Mus musculus: one gene and its partners. The protein of the gene in region 4 purifies or fractionates together with the protein of the main gene of each other region. This does not show direct contact. Links are inferred from orthologs where the notes say so. Each region holds a gene or a part of one and is shown on either strand. Other genes may lie near its edges.

Region 1 (4,073 bases), on a different chromosome or scaffold from region 4:
GATGAAGAGAATAGGGATAAGAATGCATGAAAAGCAGGAAGGAGTAAGGTCTCAGTGTCTAATGCTATTACTAAAGCTGTATCAACAAGCCCTAATGTAGACTCTGATGGGGACTTTCACTGAGCAGTCACAAGAGACCACTGCACAGCTTAGTTTGTTCCCAGCAAACACAGCACACACAGCAACACTACAAGTACAGCCTGAGTGGGTTCAGTGAGCAGGAATAACTATAATTAAGGGATAAATGTGCTGGAGAGCACAGCACAGAAGAGAGCAGGCTCACACTGGCTCGCCTTTAGGAGGCAGCCACGTCCTTACCACACAGGAAAATTGGATAAACAAGGCTGACTGCAGCAGCTCCTTTGTTTCTGCTGATGGGAATTGATACTGACACTGGAAGTCAAACGGAAGAAAGGACCAGCCCTGTGGGGCTGAAGACTGCAAAGTCAGAGTGCGGAGCCTGAGGGAGGCCTGGAGGGATGACTGGAACGTCCAGTCGGGGCCCCTGCAGGCCAGGTAAGATTCTAGAAGGCCAAGCAGGTGCTCTAGTAGGAAAGATGGCCGGATAAGACTGCATGAGTGTGTGCATGTGTGCGTGTGAAGAGAGCAAAAGAGGAGAGTGCACACAAATTCAAGACTCTGTAGCAAAAAATTCCAAGCTTCTGTTATTCTATGGATAGCCTTATATAACTCTAGAAAGTTTTAAAAACTAGCTGGCAGCCATGGTTATTTTAACACTAGTATTTACTCTAATAAGACCACTATAAAGACTATTTCAACCATGACGTTGTAATTGAGAAAAACAGAAAATTAAGACAGAAAGTCTTCTCACACGGCAAAAAATGAAAAAGATGAGCTAGTGGTCTTTCCCTCAGTGAGTGATGGCAGCTGACAGAAGACAGAAGCATACTATTTTTTTTAAAAAGGCATCAGAAAGGCATCTTTCCAGAGTGAGAATGGTGTGAGAATCAAAGCCTTCCCTGTAAAGGGAAAGTTCCCCGGGGAACATGTTAGGAGCTTCCAGTCTTCTGCACTACAGCTGAGGAGAAGCAAGTTAGTGCCCCACTGATACTCAGGAACCAGTGAGTTAAAGAGGCATGAAGAGCAATGCTCTATTTAAATGGGCACCCAACACTTAAAATACTACACCAATGGGTTGGCAACTCCATTTTCTGCCAGACCATCTTTCAACATGAAGAACTCCATTGACATCTAATTCTGAAAACCTAGGCAAGCATATTCTTTTAGACAGTAAGATTTTCAGGGTAAAAGCTGTGACTCCTCCTTTCACAGGAAACCTGGGGGGTGGGGAGGGGGCACAGGACAACTCCCCTTCCAGGGGAATAAGGGGGGTCCAACAAAGAGAAAGGCAGGGTAATAAAGACTTAACTTCTGAGTCCAGAAGGAGAACTATAAAATTGGTAAATTAACAGCCTCATTTCTAAATTGAGGGAAATGTCAGCCTGAAGAGAGCCGGGGATCCGGAGTGGGCAGATCACAGAGATAATAGCGTTGGGAGGAGGGGTGGTTGAAATAGGCAGCAGGATGAAGCCAAAAGCGAGATTAAAAAAAAAAAAAAAGCCACAAGAGAAGGCACTTAGCTTAATGGAAGTGGAAAAGCATTTTCAAAGAAAGGGGCTGCAAGCAGCAGGGAAGAAGCAACTTAACCTTAAAAAAAATTTTTTAAAAGCCTCTTGGGACGATTGGGGCTCAGCCCACGACAAAGACAGATAAAGCTGCGAAAAGTCCTCCAGAATGGTTCCAAAACCTTTACTTTGTCATCCAGAATCCAAAAGCTTTGATTGGACAGCTGAAACACTTCAATTTCTCTATCCTTACATCACGTCTAACATGGCCATTAAGGGAAGAGAAGGCCATTCTTAAATCCAATGGGCACCCCGTTCCAAAACTCTGATTCTTCTTCAAGAAGGAAGGAAGAGCCTCATCCAAACATCTCCAACTGAGGGGAAGCGACTAGCAGGCCAGTCCCCGTTCCCGGTGTCGCCCAACAACCGTTTATTTCAGCTCCACTGGAAATCTGACCCGCACAATGGCATCTGGGGGACAGAGAACGCCCACCTCAGGGCTCCTGCGGACTGGAAGGCCATCTGGCTCCGGTCTAGTTCCCCACTCCCCGAAGTTCTGCTCTTGGACCAGTTCTTCCCAAGAACATTTTTAGTTTCGTGGACCCCGGATTTCCCGGTTAACGTCACCAGGCTGCTTAAGTCTTAGGACTCCGCAGGGACGGCGGAGCCTATGGCCCCAGGGACGGCGGTGGGCGGGGAGGGGACCCCGATCTCCTAGTGCCGCCGGCCTCGGCTTGGCGGGACTGACGCGTCTCCAGAGAGGGGCCAGGGACCGTGAGCCTCTCCTTCGCAGCCCGCAGCTCCGCTCGGGGCTCGGCCCGCGAGGAGGACACCCGTCGGGGGCTCCGGTGTGCCCCCCTCCAGTCCTCCACAAGTTTCCAAAAGAAGCCCAGCGCCGTCTCCCGAGTCTCCTGTTGCCCTCCCTCCCAGCAGTCGCACAGCAAGGACTTCCCGGGCATGTCCTTCTCTCTACCTTGTCTCTTCCCGCACCTCCCTCTCTACTCCCAGGTCCTTTACAAGATTTCTGGTACATGAGAGATTAAAAAAGAAAAAAGAGACAAACAAACAAAAAAGACCACTCACAGCTTCACTACATTCTCCACCACAGCCGCCATCTTCCCTGTTCCTCTCCCTCAGGCCGGGAGGCCCCGAAACCTACAACGCGCAGGCGCTAAGCCTTCTCAGGACACAGGGTCCTCGACCCTCTGCGCAGGCGCAGCTAGGGGGTGCGCGCACGCACAGGCCCACGAGAGCGAGCGCTCGAGAACGACCTGTCCTGAAGGAGCCTAGGATCCCAGTGCGCAGGCGCGATTGGAAAACTTACATGCCCTCTGCAGCTCATTCTAGAGATCCGTCTCCCCTCCATTTAGTGACGCCTCAGCTAGGAGATCTGGCTCGGTTGGAAAGTGAGAAAGGTAAGTGAAAAGGCCACGCGGATAGGCTAGAAGTTGCAAACAGTGTCCTGCCTGGCTGGCCGTTAGCCACGAGGTTGACACACAGGGAGAGATTGGTGGGTAGGTAGTGAAAGGTCAGAGTCCCAGTCCTTTAGGTACCTCTGTTCCCAGTCAGCCCATTTTAGAGAATGGAAAGTGAGTGCCCAAAATGGGCTGTTCTTGGGCCTGACTCTCATTCGGACAATTCCTGCCAGTAAACCCGGTCCTTGAACTTCACTGGCACCCACCTCTTCTCTCTTGCTTGCCTCTCTCTCCCTCTTCCTCTCCCTCTCTCTCCCTCTCCCCTCTCCCTCTCTCTCCATTCCTTTGCTCTGTATGTCTGTCTTTGTGTGCGTGCATGTGCCATAGCATATGTGTAAGAGTGAGAGAGCAGCTTGGGGATGTGAGTTCTTTCATTCTACTTTGTACCTGGGGGATGGTGGTCAGGTTGTCAGGCGTGGTGCCCAGAGTCCGTATCTGCTGTGTCATCCCACAAGCCCTTGATTGCTATTACCAAGCCATTCTCCACATTGAAAGTTTTCACTGGTGTGACTAGCCCTCTTAGTTCTATACTATTTATTTCTCCTTCAGTATCGAGTTATGCAAATCCATGAACAAACATGTTTCCCCTTAAAGAAGAAACCAGCCGGGCGGTAGGGGCACACACCTTTAATCCCAGCACTTGGGAGGCAGAGACAGGAGGATTTCTGAGTTTAAGGCCAGCCTGGTCTACAAAGTGAGTTCCAGGACAGCCAGGGCTACACAGAGAAGCACTGTCTCAAAAAAACAAAAGCAAAAACAAAAACAAAACAAGAAGAAGAAGAAACCAACAGGACTCCCTTAAGCCCATTGGCACTGCATCTCAGCCCATTTCTTTTCACTCTTTCTAAGCAGATTTTCATTCGTATTCTGTACTGCCCTGTTTTCCTAGGCTCTCTTCTGCTTACTGAGTGCTTTTGTTCCCACCAGGCCTTTTGAAATAACTCCTAACAAAGTCACCAAACCTCGGTTTCAATGGATTTAGAAGCGATCTACTCTCTGTCCATGTTGGACC
Region 2 (4,268 bases), on a different chromosome or scaffold from region 4:
GGCCTCCTCAACCAGACACCCTTCCCAGGCCAGCTCTCCAATCTCATTCCTGGCCTTCTCTGTCCCCACTGTCTCTTGGTCTCTAATCCCAAAACAGGACTTATGGGCAGATCACCTGTGTACGTTGGCCTGGAGCCAGAGAGCAAGGCTTTGGCATCTTTGAGACCTCTTGGTTCTCAAGAGTTGTTTAGAGATCAGAACTCCCCAGAAAGAAACAGGGCAAAGCTGAGAAATGTACACTGGCTGGGGGGGCAGCAGGAGGGGCTCTGGGTGACGCATGCCTCTGGTCTAATAAACTGGGTTTCAACCATCTCTTCAGTGTTGGTTTTCTGTTTGTTGTTTGGTTTGTTTTGAGACAGGGTTTCTCTGTGTAGCCCTGGCTGTCCTGGAACGGCTCTGTAGTCCAGGCTGGCCTCGAACTCTCACAGAGATCCTCCTGCCTCCCAAAATGCTGGGATTAAAAGCCTGAGCTGCCATTATCCTGCCCAGTGCTGTTTTTAGTTGCAAACTGTGGGTGTTACCTTTAGAATGGAGCTTGCCTTGAGAGCCACACAACTAGAGTAAGGGAATTTGAGTGGTAGCCCGGTGTGGTGGTTATACCTGTAATTCCAGCAGGTAGGAGATGGAGCAGCTATCTTCCATTACACAGTGAGTTTAACGCTAGATTGGGCTACACCAGACCCTACATACTTGATCAGGTAAACACTGATCCTGCTGGGAAAAGACAGGCTCAGGATTCGTCTGATCACTGGGCAGGGGACCAGCAGTTATCTATGGCAACAAATATCCAGGACTCTTTGGAGAAAAGTCACGGGAAAAAACGCATCAAAATCTTAAGTTAAACGTCTGAGGTGAAGGGTCCCGAGCCTTCTCTGTGTATCCCTGGCTGTCCTGGAACTCACTCTGTAGACCAGGCTGGCCTCGAACTCAGAAATCCGCCTGCCTCTGCCTCCCAAGTGCTGGGATTAAAGGCGTGCGCCACCACGGCCCGGCATGGGTTTTCTCTTGCTGATTTGTCTTTGCCACGACATTGATCTCCTTCGAGTTCTACTTTTCCCGAACGAACAAACAGCACGTTTTCCTCTTTAGTACCCGGAGTCTGAGCAGTAGGAGAACGAAAAGCAAGGCAACCAGAATGCTTTGGAGAGGTAAATGCACTGGGCCAAGGTGAAGCATCACTCCAGCCGCCAGCCGGATGGGCTGGGCTCTCTGCAAGGCTTTTTACCGTCCTCCAACCGCGTGGAGGCGCTCGCTCCCGGCACCTCTTTATCCGCACACCGCTTCTCTATGGTGCTCCCTCCTGGCCCGTGAAGGCGGGAGGGAGTGGTCAGCACGCCTTTCCCGCTAGTCGCCCCCTCTAGCCCGTAGTCTCGCTGCTCCGAGCCGCCTGTGCCCGCCGGCGGGCCGGGCCCACAAACAGCCCAGGCGCTCGGGGGGCGCGCGGGGGGCGGGGGGAGTTCCGGTTCCGGTTCTTTGTGCAGCTGCAGCGGCGGCTCCGGGAAGATGGCGGCCCGGGCGGGTTTCCAGTCTGTGGCTCCGAGCGGCGGCGCGGGAGCCTCAGGAGGAGCGGGCGTGGCGGCTGCTCTGGGCCCGGGCGGAACTCCCGGGCCTCCCGTGCGAATGGGCCCGGCGCCGGGTCAAGGGCTGTACCGCTCTCCGATGCCCGGGGCGGCCTATCCGGTGAGTGGGACAGGAGGAGGGGCGCGCGGGCCGGGGGCGGGGCCGAGCGAGGGCGGAGGACTGACAGGGGTGAGGGAGAAGTGGGAGGGACTCCCTGGGGAGGGGCTCGGGCCGGGAGTGGAGGTGTGTGGGGGGGGAGGAGGTTAGCATCCTTACCTGCTCCTGGCGGCATTGTTTCCATGTGAGGAGTGAGTGTGGAACCAGGGTGGGCGAAGTGGGCCCTGGGATGGTCATGGAATGCAGAGGGGAGTGGGCAGCCCCCGTGTCCCCAGGAATACCCAGGCTGTTATAGCTGCAAATGGAGGTCAGCTTTAGAGGAGACAGTAGCTAGTAAAAAAAGAAATGTAGGGCTGACTAGACATGTCTGGTGAGTCAGATCCAGCATAGACCAGAAAAATTGAGTATAATCTAGTTTTTAGACTATATGCAATGAAATCACTGAAGGTCCAGTGACTGTATTTCAAAGAAGCAAAGGACTGTCTTGTTGTCCCCCCACCCCACCCCCAGCCCTAACCCACTCCTGAAATCCAGGCTGCCACCATTTTTCCTTTCTTGGTGGGGCTAGCAAGGAAAAGTATGACATTTCTGGGTCCTCTCCCTTCTGTAGAGACCAGGTATGCTGCCAGGTAGCCGAATGACACCTCAGGGACCTTCCATGGGACCTCCTGGCTATGGGGGGAACCCTTCAGTCCGACCTGGTCTGGCCCAGTCAGGGATGGACCAGTCCCGCAAGAGACCTGCACCTCAACAGATCCAGCAGGTCCAGCAGCAGGCGGTCCAAAATCGAAATCACAAGTAAGATGACCCCTGGGGGTGAAGGAAAGAAGGGTATGGGGGAGAGGAGGCCTGTGAGGATGCTGGTGGTGGGCATGCAGAACCAGGAAGTCAGCGCTGTGGCACCAAACGGTGCTGCAGGGACTAACAGGGCCTCATGATGCAGTGGAGTTTTGGTGGTCATGGGAGAGGTAGCGTCTTTAAATGGAGAGTCATTTCGTAGGCCTTGGCTGTAACCATAAACAAAGGTGCTCACAACACTGCTCACGTTCTGACTAGTTCCTATCCCAACCTGATCACAGTATTTATTCTGAACAGTGCAAAGAAAAAGAAGATGGCTGACAAAATCCTACCTCAAAGGGTGAGTGCAGCTGCAGAGGTCTCCTTGAAGGGGTAGTGGCTTTGAGAATAGAAGTGGTCAGAACGAGGGCTGCCCCATCCCATCTCTGTCTTTCTGTTCCTAAGATTCGGGAACTGGTCCCAGAATCACAGGCCTACATGGATCTCCTGGCTTTTGAAAGGAAACTGGACCAGACTATTATGAGGAAGCGGCTAGATATCCAGGAGGCCTTGAAACGTCCCATCAAGGTAACAGGACAGTACCAGGCTGAGGGTCAAGGGAGGGGCCCAGGTCTCTCTCCAGCTCAGGATGGAAAAATCAAAGGCACAGCACAGCTCTCTGTGGCATTTAAATTGCATCTTTCCCTTCCGCCTACAAACCAGGAATTACATTAGGAGCATAGGAGTCTAACAGCTGGCAGGGAAAGGGGCGGGGGTGGGGGGTTGGGGGGGAGCTATCCAGGGCTCTAGACAGAAATAGACCCGTGCGCGCTTTTTGCTGTAACCACTTGCTACCTTGGGAACATGCCACTTTGCACAATTTTGTCTCCCTAGTCCCCTGGTGCATTCACTTGCACCCAGGCTCAGGTCGGGACTGTACACTTCCGAGTGGAGTCTCTGTCCCCTGTAGTGAGCCAGCCAGTGAGGAGTCACTTGGGAGTTTTAGGGGACCTTTACTACCGAAGCTCCACTGTCGATCCTGTTTCTGCCTTCCTCAGCAAAAACGGAAGCTGCGAATTTTCATTTCTAACACGTTCAATCCGGCTAAGTCGGACGCGGAGGATGGGGAAGGGACGGTGGCTTCCTGGGAGCTCCGGGTAGAAGGCCGGCTCCTGGAGGACGTGAGTTCAAGGTCCACTGTGGTTGGTGCTCAGGGAGGGAGCTGCAGGGGTGGCACTGTGCCGGGTGCTTGGTGCGGTGTGCTCAGCAGGAAACCTGACTGCAGTTCACCACTCCTGCTGGGAGCTTCCGGGAGGGGGCTGGGGGGCTGTGTTCCCTGCATACAAAGACAATGGTCCTTTGTGTCTGCTTCCTCAGCTGCACGGTTTTGTCCTGGGGTCTGGGTTGCTGTTGACTTGGCCCTGGTGATGCTGCCCTTTGGATTTAGCAGTATCAGTGGATGATCTCAGTGGTCCCCATCCCTGCCCGCCACCCATCTGTGCTGAGCCTTTGAGGCCATGTTTCCTCCCTTGAATCCTTGAGGTTATTTCTGTGTTCCCAACTTTCCTTGGAGGTACCACAGTTTAAGTGTGAGAGTCCCCCAAAGGCTTGGCTCTCTGTTGCTCCAAGGGGATCATCAGACTAATGAGCACCCCCAAACTCTCCACCCAGCAGCTCATGCTCACCCAGTGCTGCGCTCTGGCACTATATTTAGCTGTGCAAGTGAGCTCGTTCGAGTGCACTTTTGCTGGAGAACCAGAGCCTCCTGTGGGTAGTCCGGGCTGTTTGCTGGTCATGTGTTCTGTCCAGATAAA
Region 3 (4,034 bases), on a different chromosome or scaffold from region 4:
TACATTTGCTTTTCATAAAAAAATAGCCAGTAAAATAATTTCAGTTCTGTAACTCAACAGTATAAGTGAACAGTGTCAAAAACTACTCAAGACAAATGTATCTTCAGCGCCATCAAAGAACTCATTTATACCATCAGGAAAGTAACAAAAACGAAAACAAACAGCAAACCCATTGTAGAGAAAAACTCAGCTACTGTTCCAACAACACAGAATCTATTTCAGACTGCATAAAACATAACAAGCAAAATAAATCCAAGGTGCAAGCAAAATGCCATCGCCTCCTCTTTTGTTTCAGGCACAATGTAACAAGGGCAGCCTGTCTGGGACTCTGCTCCTGCTGATACAGTATTGCTGCTTAAACCTCCCTCCTCAAGGTCACAGCCAATTTCAGCTCTGGAATAAAAGGCGGATAGTGGCAGCGAAGGTTTGGGTTATCACTGGCAGAAAAGCAGAGTGTAAAAGTTTATGAGCTCATCAGGATTGTTGTACCATTACATCAGAGGCAATTATAAATGGCCAAGAGCAGAAGATGGGGAGCCAATCAGATCACAGATAGGATGTCAACCTAAGACCAACTGTCTCCTGGCTTTGACAGAAGGATTTTACCTCCATAATTCAAATCCCAAACCAAAGCAATCTGCACTTACTACTCCAATCACTCTGTGTTTACCAGCACTTCAGAGAGAAGCCCAGGCCACTGGGCCGCCGGAGACTGAGGCAAGAGGTGGCCCCGGCGGCCCAGAGCGAACCACAGTCGGCCTCGAGCTGCCCCCAAGCAGGCCCCAGCTCTCCCCCGAGGTCCCCCGAGCCCTAGGGGCCACTCTTTAAAAGCGTATATTGGGGAACGGCCTAGAGGAAGGCAAGGGGGATCAGAGGAGCGGCAGGTGAGCAAGAAAACGTTGCTTCTTTCTCCCGGATTCATGACACTGCCTACACCCCTAACCTGAACCCCCAGCACCCCCCCCCGCGACCGGGCCTGGCCCTTCCAGGCACACTTTGCTCTGCACCCCCCTGGAGACCCCCAGAGTTCGAAAGGACCAGCGGAGGAGGAGAAACCGGACAGACACCCCTGGAAAAGCCCCACACAAAGGCTGATCGAGGGAAGGAGAGGAAGGCAGACAGGCAGCCATTTTAAGAGAGAAGAGCCAGACAATGGCAGCTCCCCGGCAGTGGGGGCCCAAGCCCGAGGGGAGCCCACGGCCGGGGCCTGCTTCCCCGCAGCCGCCACCCAGCCCACCCCCCGGCCCCGCTGGCCCCAGCCCCCTCCCCGCTCGGCTGTGTACCTGAGGGGTCCGGGCGAGCGGCTGCCCCCCGCCGCCGCTGCTCCCGGGGCTCATGGGCGCGTGGTGGCTCCTTTGTTGGGCCCCTCCCGAGACGGCCGCTGCCGCCGCCGCCGCCGCCGCCGCAGCCCCCCAGCACTGCGAGGCCATGTCCGCCGGGCCTTTGCCCGCGCCCCCGTCCTGGGGCCCGCCGCCGTAGTCGCCCCCGGGGTAGCCCTGGTAGCCACGGGCCGAGCTGGGCGACGTGAGCAGTTGGTTGAGGGTGGGGGTGGCGGTGGGCTGGGGAGTTCCCCCGCCGGCCGCTGAGGGGCCGCCTCCCCCCATGGCCCCGAAGCGCTGCTGTGCGAAGGACGAAGACGACGAGGAGGCAGAGGCGCTGGAGGAGGGAGGCGGCTTGGAGCCGGCGGCCGCCGCCGCGCCGGAGCCCGGAGTGCCACCTCTCGGGGAGCTCAGCGCGTAGGCCTGGGGAGGCGGGGGGTAGGCGCTGCGGTTGGGGTAGTAGGAGTTGTACTGGTGGTTGGGGAAGCCGTGGTCGTGCGAGTTCTGCTGGGGCCCGGCGTAGGGCTCCAAGCCCCCGCCGCCGCCGCTCTGCAGCGCTGCCAGGCCAGGGCTTTGTTGTCCGCCATGTTGTTGGTGGAAGACGGCGGCCGCCGCGGCGGCGACGGCAGACGGGCTCCGGCCGTAGGCTTGCCCGAAGCCGTAGGCTGGGGGCGGCAGGGCGGCCGCGGCCGAGTGAGGAGGCGCCCCCACCCCGTCGCTGCTGCTGCTGCCGCCGCCGCCGCCGCCGCCGGGCGGCTCCGGGAGGTTATTGTTCAGGGCGGGCCTAGGGCCCGCGTTCCCGTTCGAGTTCTTCAGGTCCGGCTCCGCGCCGGGCCCGCCGCCGCTGCCGGCTCCGCCGCCGCCGCCACCCCCATTGCTCTCGGCCCCGTCCTGCAGCTCCTTTCCCAGCGGCTGCGGCGGCCCCACGGCGGGGCCCTCGCTCTCCTGCCCGGCGGCTGCCTTCATTTCCCCGCGCTCGGCCGCTGCCGCCGCCGCCTCGCCCCCCGCCTCCTCCCGCTGTTGCTGCTCGGCTTTCTTCAGCTCCGAGGGCGGCGGCGGCGGGTTGCCCAGGCTGCTGGCGGCGGCGGGGGCGACCTGCGCGGCCATGATCCCCGCTGTCTCGTCCGCGGAGAGACCCGGCCCTGTCTTCGTCTTCTCCCCCCTCCCACCCCGCCCCGGGGCCGAGTCCCCCGGGCTGCCCTCCCCACCCGCCCGGGCGGGCCTCGCGGGGCTCCGCTGCTGCGCTGCGCTCGCTCCTCTCCCCCCCGCCCCGCCGGCTCAGGCTCCGGGCTGGCGGCGGAGGAGGAGGAGGAGGCGGCGGCGGCAGCCGAGGCGCCGGCGGCTCAGCTGCTCCGGGCTCTGGCGGCTCGGGACCCGGCTCTCCCGGCTCATTCCCCCCAAGCCCTTGCCTGGGAATGAGGGGGGCGGTGGAGGCTCCGCTCCCCAGGGCCTGGCCCCGCTGTGACTCTCCGCTTTCTGCTGCCGGAGAAAGGAGGAGGGAGGGAGGGAGGGAGGCGAGGGGGAGGGGGCGGGAAAGGAGGGAGGGAGCGGGGGGGGAGGGGGGACCCGGGACGGGCGGGCGGGCGGGCGGGCTGGAGGGCGCGCGGCGGCGGACGGGGCGCCGGGAGGCAGAGTAGGAGCGCTGCTCTGGCGGGCGCCCTGCCTCGCCTCCCCGGCCGCGGCTCGGGCCGAGGCTGCTGCTTGGCGGCGGGCGGGCGGGCGAGAGAGCGAACGAGAGAGCGGGCGGGCGGGCGGCGGGACTGAGCAGCTAGAGCGCCCCACTCTCCTCCGAGTCCCCCTCACTCCGACACGAGGCTCAGCACTGCCATTTTACCCAGCGCCGTCGCGGCCGCCTGAAAAACCAGGACTGGAGCGCGGAGCGGGCGCAGGCCGTGGAATGGACTCGCTCCCTTCCCCTCACAAAGGAGGAGGGGAGAGAAGGAGCCGCGGCGGCGGCGGCAAGCCCTCAGCCTCTTTCGCTCGGCTGCGCCGCCGCCGAAGGCTTCGGGGAAAACCCGGCCCGGAGCCCGCGCCTCCGGAGCCTGCGCCGCCTCGCTCGCCGCGTTCCCAGCCTGGCCTGTCCCCTCCCGGCCGCTCCAAAGGGAGCGGGCCGCGTGAACTTTACCCGCGCCTGCAAAATTGGCCTGAGCCCGAAACCGCGGCCGCCGCGGCCGGGACCTGACCCCCTGGCACCGGGCCTGGGCTCTTGGCTGCGACTTAGCACCTCCGCAGCACTTTTCTTCTTCAAAGCCTTTTGCAGACCTGCTCTAGAGACCCAGCTGAGCGAGCCCTGCTTTTCCCCCCCTTTGGCTAGCCCCAAAGGAGGACTGACCATTGTTCAAACTATCGGTTCTCCCGTGCCCTGCCCTCATTAGCCCTCTCTGACAAGGCCCTGGGGGCATGAGGTCTGGATTATCTCCCCCCCCCCCATTTTACCAACAGACTGAAGGGAGGGGACTGCCCAGGTCACTTAAAGTCAGAGGGCAGAAGTGTGTGGCTATAAAAAGTGGAGTGAGTGGCCGAAGCCGCATCTTGTCTACTTAGCCAGAGAAAAGGAGGAAAAGAGAAAAGAAAGGCACTTACGTTGTGAACAAATCCAACCACCGGATCAGATCAGTGTCAGGAGGTTTGAAAATCAAACGTGGTCATCCCACCACTTCTCTTAAAATGGTGGCTACTGATGCGTTGGGGGCTTAAGACAGTCCTCCAGGCAAA
Region 4 (4,300 bases):
GTGAAAGACAAGAAGTTACTTCTCAAGAACAGTTACCATTGTAAGGGAGAGAGAAGGTTCCATCCTTTGATGTTAGAATGGCCAGAGTCTTCATCTTCTATCGTGTGTGTGTGTGTGTGTGTGTGTGTGTGTGTGTGTGTGTACGCGCGTGCGCACGCGCACTATTTCATATGCACAGCGTAGGGGAACCACATGTGGAGGTCAGAATACAATTTGACTGAGTTGGTTCTCTCCTTCCACCATGCTGGTCACACAGACTGTACTCAGGATGTCAAGCTTGGCCACAGCACCTTACCAGATGAGCCATCTTGAAAGCCTAGTCTTCACCCTTTAGGTTTCTTTAAATACAACAGAGAGTTCAGAACTTAAGGCACACGACTAGCCTGTAGTGCTGTCCTTGTTTGCTAACCGTTAAATTTTACTTATATGCATATCTGGTTTTGTTTACTTTTTGTAAATCTTTTCTATAATTAAACAGCATGAAATCTTTGAGAGTTTCCTTTGCAGCTGGTCAGTTCTACCACCCGTATAGGGCACTGACACCCCAGAATCGCAACTGACCCGTGACATTTGAAATAACATTTAAAAATACGTTTATTTTTTACTTTATTAACATTTTGGACACTAATTTTTTGGTCTTGTGAGACAGTGGCCGTCAGTGTAGCTCTAACTGTCCTGAAACTCACTCTGTAGAGCAGGCTGGCCTTGAACTCACAGAGATCTGCTTGCCTCTGCCTCCTGTGTGCTGAGATTAAAGGCGAGCACCCCTGACATCCAGTTAGGCACTAATTTTTGAGCATCAGTGATGTTAAGTAACGATTCACATAAACTTCTCTTTTGTGCGACTAGGAAGTCTATGTTGCAGAATTAATCCACAGCAACGTGTTCCTTTTGAATTTGCAGCTGTTGGCTTTATTCCCTTCATACTGACTTGAAGCCTGGGCCTAATTAAGCACTAAGTATTTAACTGGAGAAGAGGGTGGCTTTTCACAGCTTCCTTCCAGAGGCCCCAAGTCAGATCAAGTAGATCCACAAGTGTGGGCAGGGTCTATCTTTAGGCAAACTCCGAGTCCGGGGTTCTCTCCACTGTTAGGCTAGACTAGACGAGCGTGCACTCCGAGGTGCGCACGTGGAGCGCAGGGAGCCATTTAAACTAGCGAATCCGCGTTCTCTGTGCTGACCCGGTAGACGCTCCGGAGCCCCGACTGTCCTCTTTCCCTCTGGGCGGCCGCCCGGGCGAGCCTCTTCCCCAGAGGGTCGAGGGCACAGTTGGGGCAGTGTGGCGGGCGGGCCCCGCGTTTCCTGTGACAGCGCGGCCCAGCCGCTCCCTCCCGCCGTGGCGGGACCATTTCCTGAGCGTCCGGGCAGAGGCGGCCGGCGCGGCGCTACCATCAGCGCAGGGACGCGGGGGTGCGGCCGGTGAGCGCGTGAGGGCAGCGGGGCGGACCGCGGCGGGACCGGGGGCTCGAGCCGCACCGGCAGCAGTGAGCGTCTTACACTCCTTGCTGGGAGCTGCGGCTCAGCGTTAAGGCCAAGCCGGCCAGCGAGGGACGCGGCCCGGGAGCATCCTCCCCCCACCGCGCGCCCTAAGGTGGAACTGCCCGGAGGCGGGCGTCGGGCCCCCAGCTCCGCGGGCCCTGGAGCGCTCGGGACTCGCTGATCGCGGGCTCGGCGGCAACATGTCTGTGGCGTTCGCAGCCCCGAGGCAGCGGGGCAAGGGCGAAATCACGCCCGCCGCCATCCAGAAGGTGAGCCGGGAGAGGCGCCGGGACGCGGGCCGAGGCGGGGTGGCGTGGGGGCGGGCTGACGCCGGCTTTCCGACGGAGCCCTTTGGCGCCTGCTCTGCCCGCACAAAAGCGCTGGCAACCGCCGCCCGATTTCCCCGCGGGCCGGGTGGCCTCGCGCCGCGGGGCCGTGAAGGAAGCGGCCCCGAGACTCCGGCGTCGCCCCGCCGGGACCCCACGCGCGGAAGCCCGACCCGAGAGTGCTGCGCCGCAAACTCCTCGGAGTTGAGGCCCTCTTCGGAGAACTTGAGAACCTTCCGCAATGTCTCGGGGCAGGCGAGAAAGGAGCCGGGGGGCCTCCGGGGCTCCCCGGGGTCGCTCCCGGGATCGCACCCCGGATCTGTTCCGGTCTGCAGCAGATAGATGCGCCTGAGCGCGCAGGGCGGGCGCTGGGGTTCCGGAGGGCGAGCCTGCTCTCGCTGGCCTAGCGCTGTTGGCCGTCCACAGCGACAGGCGGGCGGTTTGCATGAAGTCACGATCGAAGCGCTGGGAGCTGGGTCCTCAGAGAGTGCCACCCAGTCGCCGCTCCGGGGCTGCCAACTGGAGACACAAAGGTTCTTTATTATCCTCTAAGCCAGTGTCTAAAAGCAAGGCACTATTTAGCTCTCAGCATGGTAGACTTTTGAAAGTCGCCTCCTGTTAAGTTTAGCAGTTTGCCTTGCCCTGAGTATTTCGATCTTGTTCCCTGCCCCGGAGTAAGGTTAAGGGGAGCAAGTCAACCTGTAGTACCAATCGGGGCACCCTTGAAGACCTGTGGGTTACGGCCATCGGTTTCTGTTTACTGTCAGGGTCTTTGTAGTGTGGCATTTGACATTTGCCCAACTGTTGCTTTATTTTTCTTTGAAGAAACCCGCCTGGCAGTGTCTGGAAACGCAGTTGGTTTCTTTAGAGTGCCAGGTTGAGCCAGTAGTCTGGTGAACAGCTTTCTTTAAGCACACACGTGCAGAAAGAATGTTTCTAAGAGGATTCTTTTTGAACTCTAGAAAAAGTCTGGCGCTTTCCTTTTTCTCAGTAGAGTTTTTTTTTCTTTCTTTCTTTCTTTTTTTTTTCTTTCTATTAGTTGCTTATCGTGAGTGATTGATCTAGGTGCTAACTGGTTATATTTCATTCTCAGATGAAAAGTGAAAATGGATTAAAATTCTTTTGTTATTTTATACGTCTGTGTATGTCATGTGCATGCAGTGCTTGGGGAGGTCAGAAGAAACATCAGTTCCCTGAAATGGAGTTAATAGCCTCCTGTGGGGGCTGGAAACCACAGCCAGGTCCTTAGCAAGAGCATTAAGTGCTCTTGTCCTCTGAACCATCTCTCCAGCCCCCCAAAAGCATTACAATTCAAGTTCTGTTTGCAGTGTCAGATGTTGGTTTAGACAGGAGGCAGATGGTTGGGGTTGTTTCATGTGTCGTGGATTCCTTGGTTGAGTATTGAATTGATGGCACTGCCTTCAGGGGCAGGCAGATTTCTGTGAGATTGAGGCCAGCCTGGTCCACAGAGTTAGTTCCAGGGCAGCCGACGCTACACCCTATCTTGATAACAACAACAAAAATAGTAACAACAATAAAAAACAAAAGAATTTTTTTGTATATAGTGATTATATTTAAGAGGCACACTTTAGAAAAGTGTTTGCTCTTAGCAATCGAAGATAATGATAAATGTGCCGGAAATACCAATTCATGGTAATTGGATTTTGTTTTTAATTGAAAATCACGTTAAATGATTTTTGGTTTTGTCATGAAATTTTGAAAGGTGGGGCATGCTTAGGATGCCCCCCTAAATCTTAAGCTCCTACAAACTTGGATAGTGTGCTAGGGACTCCATGTAGGTTTTCTTCTGTAGTGCCATTGGCATAGATGAATTACTTAATCCTCAAAACCAAGGTTGCTTAGATTGTTATAAGATGCTAAAATGATAATCTTATGGTTTTTGGACTTTCTGAGATATCTCAGTTTATTTTACAAACTTCTATTAATAATTACATGCATAGAGATGATTGCTATGTGTCCTTTTGGAGAATCATGAATCTGCACAGTTAGAAAAGAAGCTGAGCCATTACCTCAGGGCCCTTGGGCAGCACTGCTCCTGTGTTTGTTTCCTTCTGGAGAAGAGATTTCCTCCTTCACACTAGAGCATGAGAATGCTCCAGTAGCAACTGCGAGTCCACTTTCAACTAGCAGAAACTACTGTTACAGATTGGAGAGGTAATGAAATGTTTCTGTATTTAAAACAAGACACCCCAAAACAATGGCCTAGAAGATGGTTCAGCTGGGTTCAGGGAGAGAGCCAGTGCTACAGAATTGCCCTCTGACCTCACACCACAGCACTGAGTGTGTGTGTGTGTGTGTGTGTGTGTGTGTGTGTGTGTGAGTGAGATGATTAATACACACTGATGATAAATAAGTCAAAAGAAACACCCTTTTTCCATTCTGAGTTTCAAAGAGAATAATTGAGATAGGTATTAAACAGAATTGATTAAATGTGATATCATTCCACATACACAAAGTAAGATTTTTTTTCTTTT
Region 5 (4,109 bases), on a different chromosome or scaffold from region 4:
AGCTCTCTTCTAGATTAGACATACACCAGACAAACTCTGGTACAGAGACATGCACGCAGGCAAAACAACCACACAGAGAAACTAAAACCAAAACTTTTTTTTTTTTTTGAGTCCACCACTGTGGCTCATCCTCATAATCCCAGAACTCTAGACTTGAAAGCAGGATCTGCGGCCCACAAAAGGAGCTCTGGGGCTTCGGAGCAGTGAGTTTTGGTTTTTTGTTTTGTTTTTGGAAGTGAAGTCTTATAGCCCAGGCAGAAAGAAAAGAGACCTTTCATGTCTCACTTGTTTCATATTAATTGCTGATATTTAAATTTCTGTTCTAGTGCTGAAGATGGCTCAGAGGATAAAAGACTGCTTACTGTTCTTCCCAAAGACCAGAGTTCAGGTCCCAGCACCCGGATAATACAGTTTACATCCGGGTCCAAGGAATGAGACGCCCTCTGCTGGCCTCTGTGGACACTGACATGCATGTTCCGCACACAAAGAAACCTTTACATTTGTATGTCCTAAATACACTGTAAAATGCAATAGAAATAATTAATGAACCAGTGTGTGGCCCATGCCTACAATCCTAGGCGAAGACAGGAGGCAGCTCTTTCTAAGTCTGAGGCTAGTCTGGACTAAATAGTGAGATGGTGTCAGAAACGGGAGAGCAGGGAGAGGAGGAAGAGGACAAAGTGTAAGGTACACCAAGCAGAAATAAGTCAACTGTATTTCTGACTTCAAAGCTTTAGAGACATGACCACTTCTGAAAACACCAGTGTATTACCAAAGCAACCCAAGCTCCCTGTCAAACACAAATAGGCTTCACTAAGCTGCAGACACTGAATGAAATGGTTCAGACTAGTCTGTCCCTTTTTAGTTTTTTAAGACAGAGTCTGATATTGGTACTTGAGGCTTGTCTTAACCTTCCATCCATACAAAGGATGGCCTTGAACTTCACACCTCTCAAAAGACTGCAGCAGAGAGCCACCAATGCCTGGTTTTGGTGGCTCTCTGCTGGGTGCTGGGGTTCAAACTCTAGACCTAACCCATGCTAAACAAACACTCTACAAACTGATTTAAATCCCCAGGTCCTAGTTTAACTTTTCATTCATTCAACAAACACTAAACAACTATTATGCAAGGTGAGACAGTTAAATGTCAACTATGAGCCAGGACATGGAGATGCATTTTCAGGCTTGTAAATCTCAACACCCACTCTGGGTCCGCAATGGGGTAACCACTACTACTTAATTTAAGAGTAGAGGAAGTGTTTTGGATGTTTCATCATATCAACTAAGGGATTCATTTTTCAACATTTATATAAAGGTGAAATTTTACTAGAGGTATTATTGGGGCCAGTGAGGTGGAAACACATGGGTAAAAGCACTTGTCACAAGCATCAAGATCTAAATTCAAGCCGGGTGGCCCATGCCTTTGATCCCAGCACTTGGGAGGCAGAGGCAGGCTGATTTCTGAGTTCGAGGCCAGCCTGGTCTACAAAGTGAGTTCCAGGACAGCCAGGGCTATACAGAGAAACCCTGTCTCTGAAAAAAAAAAAAGTATCTAAGTTCAATTCCTGGACCAGTATGGTGTTCGAGGAGAATTGATTTGCTTAAGTGGACATGAAAACAGGAGTTGTGTGTACCCCTCCAAAGTAAATAGTTGTAATTCTTTTTAAAGTGTCAACAAAGGGTTAATTCACGACTTTTGTAAAACAACTGACTCAGCAGAATTTGCATTCTAAAGTACGGGAAACACACTTTTCCCAAAAAAATTAACATTGCAAAAAATATATATATGATAAAAACTAAGCTCTCGCCAGGTGTGGTGGCGCATGCCTTTAATCCCAGCACTTGGGAGGCAGAGGCAGGAGGATTTCTGAGTTCGAGGCCAGCCTGGTCTACAAAGTGAGTTCCAGGACAGCCAGGGCTACGAAAAACAAAACAAACAAACAAAAAAACCTAACTCTCGCTTGTACTCACATCCTTACACACCACCTAAAGTACAATGAAGTGGAAAACCAACACTTTTAATAGTTCTATATCAATTGTACAATACAAGGTTTAAACCTACATGAATCCACAAGGCCAGTCATCCAAGGTCCCCTACTAATCCACATAGGGTAGCAAGCCCTTAGTTACCTAGACGCTCAACAACTGGTCTCTAAACAAAACTTCAAGATACTTTTATTAGGATGGGCTCTTTGTTCACACACCTAAGGCAGCTAACAAAAGAACAGAAACACACGCTCTGCGACTCTGTCCAGTTCCACCTCTCCTGCACATAAGAGAGAGTGAGATGGGGCTTCCCACGCGAGTACGTGGGCCCCAGAGAGCCAGCAGCTGGGGCCAGGTCGCCGCGTGCCTAGTCGCCCGCGGGGGCGTGGCAAGCGCCGAGCCGGCCTTTGTTGTCCCTCGTGGCGCGCGGAGGGGGGGGGGGAGGGGCGGCCCCAGACATGCGAAGCGGGCAGCCACCATCAGCCCCCGTCGCGTGGCTCCTCGGTCCCCACGGGCGCGCGCGAACCCACCTTCTTGTAGTGCTTGCCCAGCCAGACTCGCACCGAATCTAGCTGGGACACCGTGTCCGGGCTCTCCCAAAACTTGCTGGCCGGGCCCCCGTCCTTCCTCCGGTACACGGCCAGCCCGGAGGCCGCCGCCGCACCCCCTGCACCCACGGCGCCTGCTGCTGCTCCCGGACCGCCACCCGCTGTCGCGGCCATAGTCACCGTCCGTCGTGTCTACCGCCCGGCCTAGCCTGGCCCTCGCGGCGTTTCCCGTTCGCACCCGCGCGCGCGCGCGCAGATGCCACCTCCTCCTCCTCCTCCTAGCCCCGCCCAGCCAACCCTCTTCCGGCGCCGAGGCGCGGCCACGCCCCTTCTGGACCCTAAAGCTGCAACGAACAGGCACTGAGAGCGGGCGTACGCATGCGCAGCACGCCGGTAGTCCCCTACGGACTGAGGCTGCCCGCCTTTTCCTCTGGTCTCTCGGAACTGAGCCTCAGCCTCTGCTGTTGGTAGACACTACGAATGACTCTTCCGGGCCCCGTTTGTCTATTCGTTAGGCGGTCAACAATCTCAAGGAGGTTCTGTATCTCTACTAGAAAAAGCGGTCTAGGGTGTGCAGTGCGAGCCGAGCCCCACCCCACCCCACCCCCCCGCGTACCCGCCCCCGAGCGCTAGTAAGCAATTCCTGCTAGTCCCGGAGGCCGCGTCGGTTTGGGGACCTGCATTAAAGACCTAGTCTTTCTTGGGGCTTCATTAATGTTTCTCGAACCACATCAGATGGTTTCTGCTTAGTCGGCCTAGCTCCAGCTACTTCTGCGACCTGGACATTATCTTCCTTTGTGATTCGCACTCTCTCAAATTCATCACTTTAAAAGTATTCCAGAAAACCAGTCCCTGAGTGAACAAGTGATCACAATTACCCAACGGTTTTTTTTGTAGCTCTCTCTTCAACCTGGTGTTTTTATCATCCGCGTTGGGAACTGGACGCTTTATCTACATTTGAAGGCTATATGAAGGCTGAAAGTTTACATTGTAAACAATGTATTGGCTGTATTGGAAACGTGAACATGATATGTTCACGAAGCTCCAAGTGAGGAGGTGTGATGAGTTTATAGACCTTAAAAAAAAATGGAGATAGCCTAGAAGATGTAGTGTGCACGCCTTTAATCCCATAAGGTAGAAGCAGGAGGTTTTCTGAGTTCCAGGCCTGCCTGATGTACATAGAGCTTGAAAGCCAGGACAACCAGGGCTACAGGAAACCCTCCCTGCCTGAACAAACAAAAGAGACTAGTTGTCTCAGGTTATGTATTTGGCTCAGTTCTTAAAAAGCTTGGCAACCTGAGTTGGAACCCCAGAATTCTCATAAAAGTAGAAGGTGAAATTCTTCACGAAGTTACACCCTGACTGTGTACTGTGGCACACATACATCACCCATACCTAATTCTGGGTGGTAGTAATCCTAGCACTCAGGAGGTCGCTGACTTTTAGGCCAGCTTGTTACCATAGTGAGTTCCAAGACTACATACAGAGACCCTGTCTCAACAACAAAATGGAGCAGGGCAGTGAAATGGCTCAGCGGGTAATGCCAATAGTGACGACCTAAATTCAATTCTGGAAC

The links.
Region 1: the proteins of Ss18 (region 4) and Dpf2 purify together in Homo sapiens (affinity purification with mass spectrometry; 4 studies listed by BioGRID and IntAct, counting the BioPlex papers as one, with this or other methods). This does not show direct contact. The link is inferred for Mus musculus from reciprocal best matches to the Homo sapiens genes SS18 and DPF2.
Region 2: the proteins of Ss18 (region 4) and Smarcd1 purify together in Homo sapiens (affinity purification with mass spectrometry; 5 studies listed by BioGRID and IntAct, counting the BioPlex papers as one, with this or other methods). This does not show direct contact. The link is inferred for Mus musculus from reciprocal best matches to the Homo sapiens genes SS18 and SMARCD1.
Region 3: the proteins of Ss18 (region 4) and Arid1a purify together in Homo sapiens (affinity purification with mass spectrometry; 7 studies listed by BioGRID and IntAct, counting the BioPlex papers as one, with this or other methods). This does not show direct contact. The link is inferred for Mus musculus from reciprocal best matches to the Homo sapiens genes SS18 and ARID1A.
Region 5: the proteins of Ss18 (region 4) and Smarcc1 purify together in Homo sapiens (affinity purification with mass spectrometry; 4 studies listed by BioGRID and IntAct, counting the BioPlex papers as one, with this or other methods). This does not show direct contact. The link is inferred for Mus musculus from reciprocal best matches to the Homo sapiens genes SS18 and SMARCC1.

The regions. Positions count from the first base shown.
Region 1 is NC_000085.6:5,910,072-5,914,144, forward strand, and holds the start of Dpf2 (zinc finger protein ubi-d4), read right to left. Parts: upstream 2,801-4,073; 5' UTR 2,702-2,800; coding exon 2,670-2,701; intron 1-2,669. UniProt on the Homo sapiens protein: Plays an active role in transcriptional regulation by binding modified histones H3 and H4. Is a negative regulator of myeloid differentiation of hematopoietic progenitor cells. Might also have a role in the development and maturation of lymphoid cells.
Region 2 is NC_000081.6:99,700,819-99,705,086, forward strand, and holds the start of Smarcd1 (SWI/SNF-related matrix-associated actin-dependent regulator of chromatin subfamily D member 1), read left to right. Parts: upstream 1-1,468; 5' UTR 1,469-1,503; coding exon 1,504-1,680; exon of another isoform or gene 1,681-1,972; intron 1,973-2,287; coding exon 2,288-2,475; exon of another isoform or gene 2,476-2,684; intron 2,685-2,772; coding exon 2,773-2,815; exon of another isoform or gene 2,816-2,919; coding exon 2,920-3,042; intron 3,043-3,512; coding exon 3,513-3,635; intron 3,636-4,268. UniProt on the Homo sapiens protein: Involved in transcriptional activation and repression of select genes by chromatin remodeling (alteration of DNA-nucleosome topology).
Region 3 is NC_000070.6:133,751,186-133,755,219, forward strand, and holds the start of Arid1a (AT-rich interactive domain-containing protein 1A), read right to left. Parts: upstream 2,801-4,034; 5' UTR 2,427-2,800; coding exon 1,284-2,426; intron 1-1,283. UniProt on the Homo sapiens protein: Involved in transcriptional activation and repression of select genes by chromatin remodeling (alteration of DNA-nucleosome topology).
Region 4 is NC_000084.6:14,680,115-14,684,414, reverse strand, and holds the start of Ss18 (protein SSXT), read left to right. Parts: upstream 1-1,500; 5' UTR 1,501-1,679; coding exon 1,680-1,748; intron 1,749-4,300. UniProt on the Homo sapiens protein: Appears to function synergistically with RBM14 as a transcriptional coactivator. Isoform 1 and isoform 2 function in nuclear receptor coactivation. Isoform 1 and isoform 2 function in general transcriptional coactivation.
Region 5 is NC_000075.6:110,130,715-110,134,823, reverse strand, and holds the start of Smarcc1 (SWI/SNF complex subunit SMARCC1), read right to left. Parts: upstream 2,801-4,109; 5' UTR 2,708-2,800; coding exon 2,516-2,707; intron 1-2,515. UniProt on the Homo sapiens protein: Involved in transcriptional activation and repression of select genes by chromatin remodeling (alteration of DNA-nucleosome topology).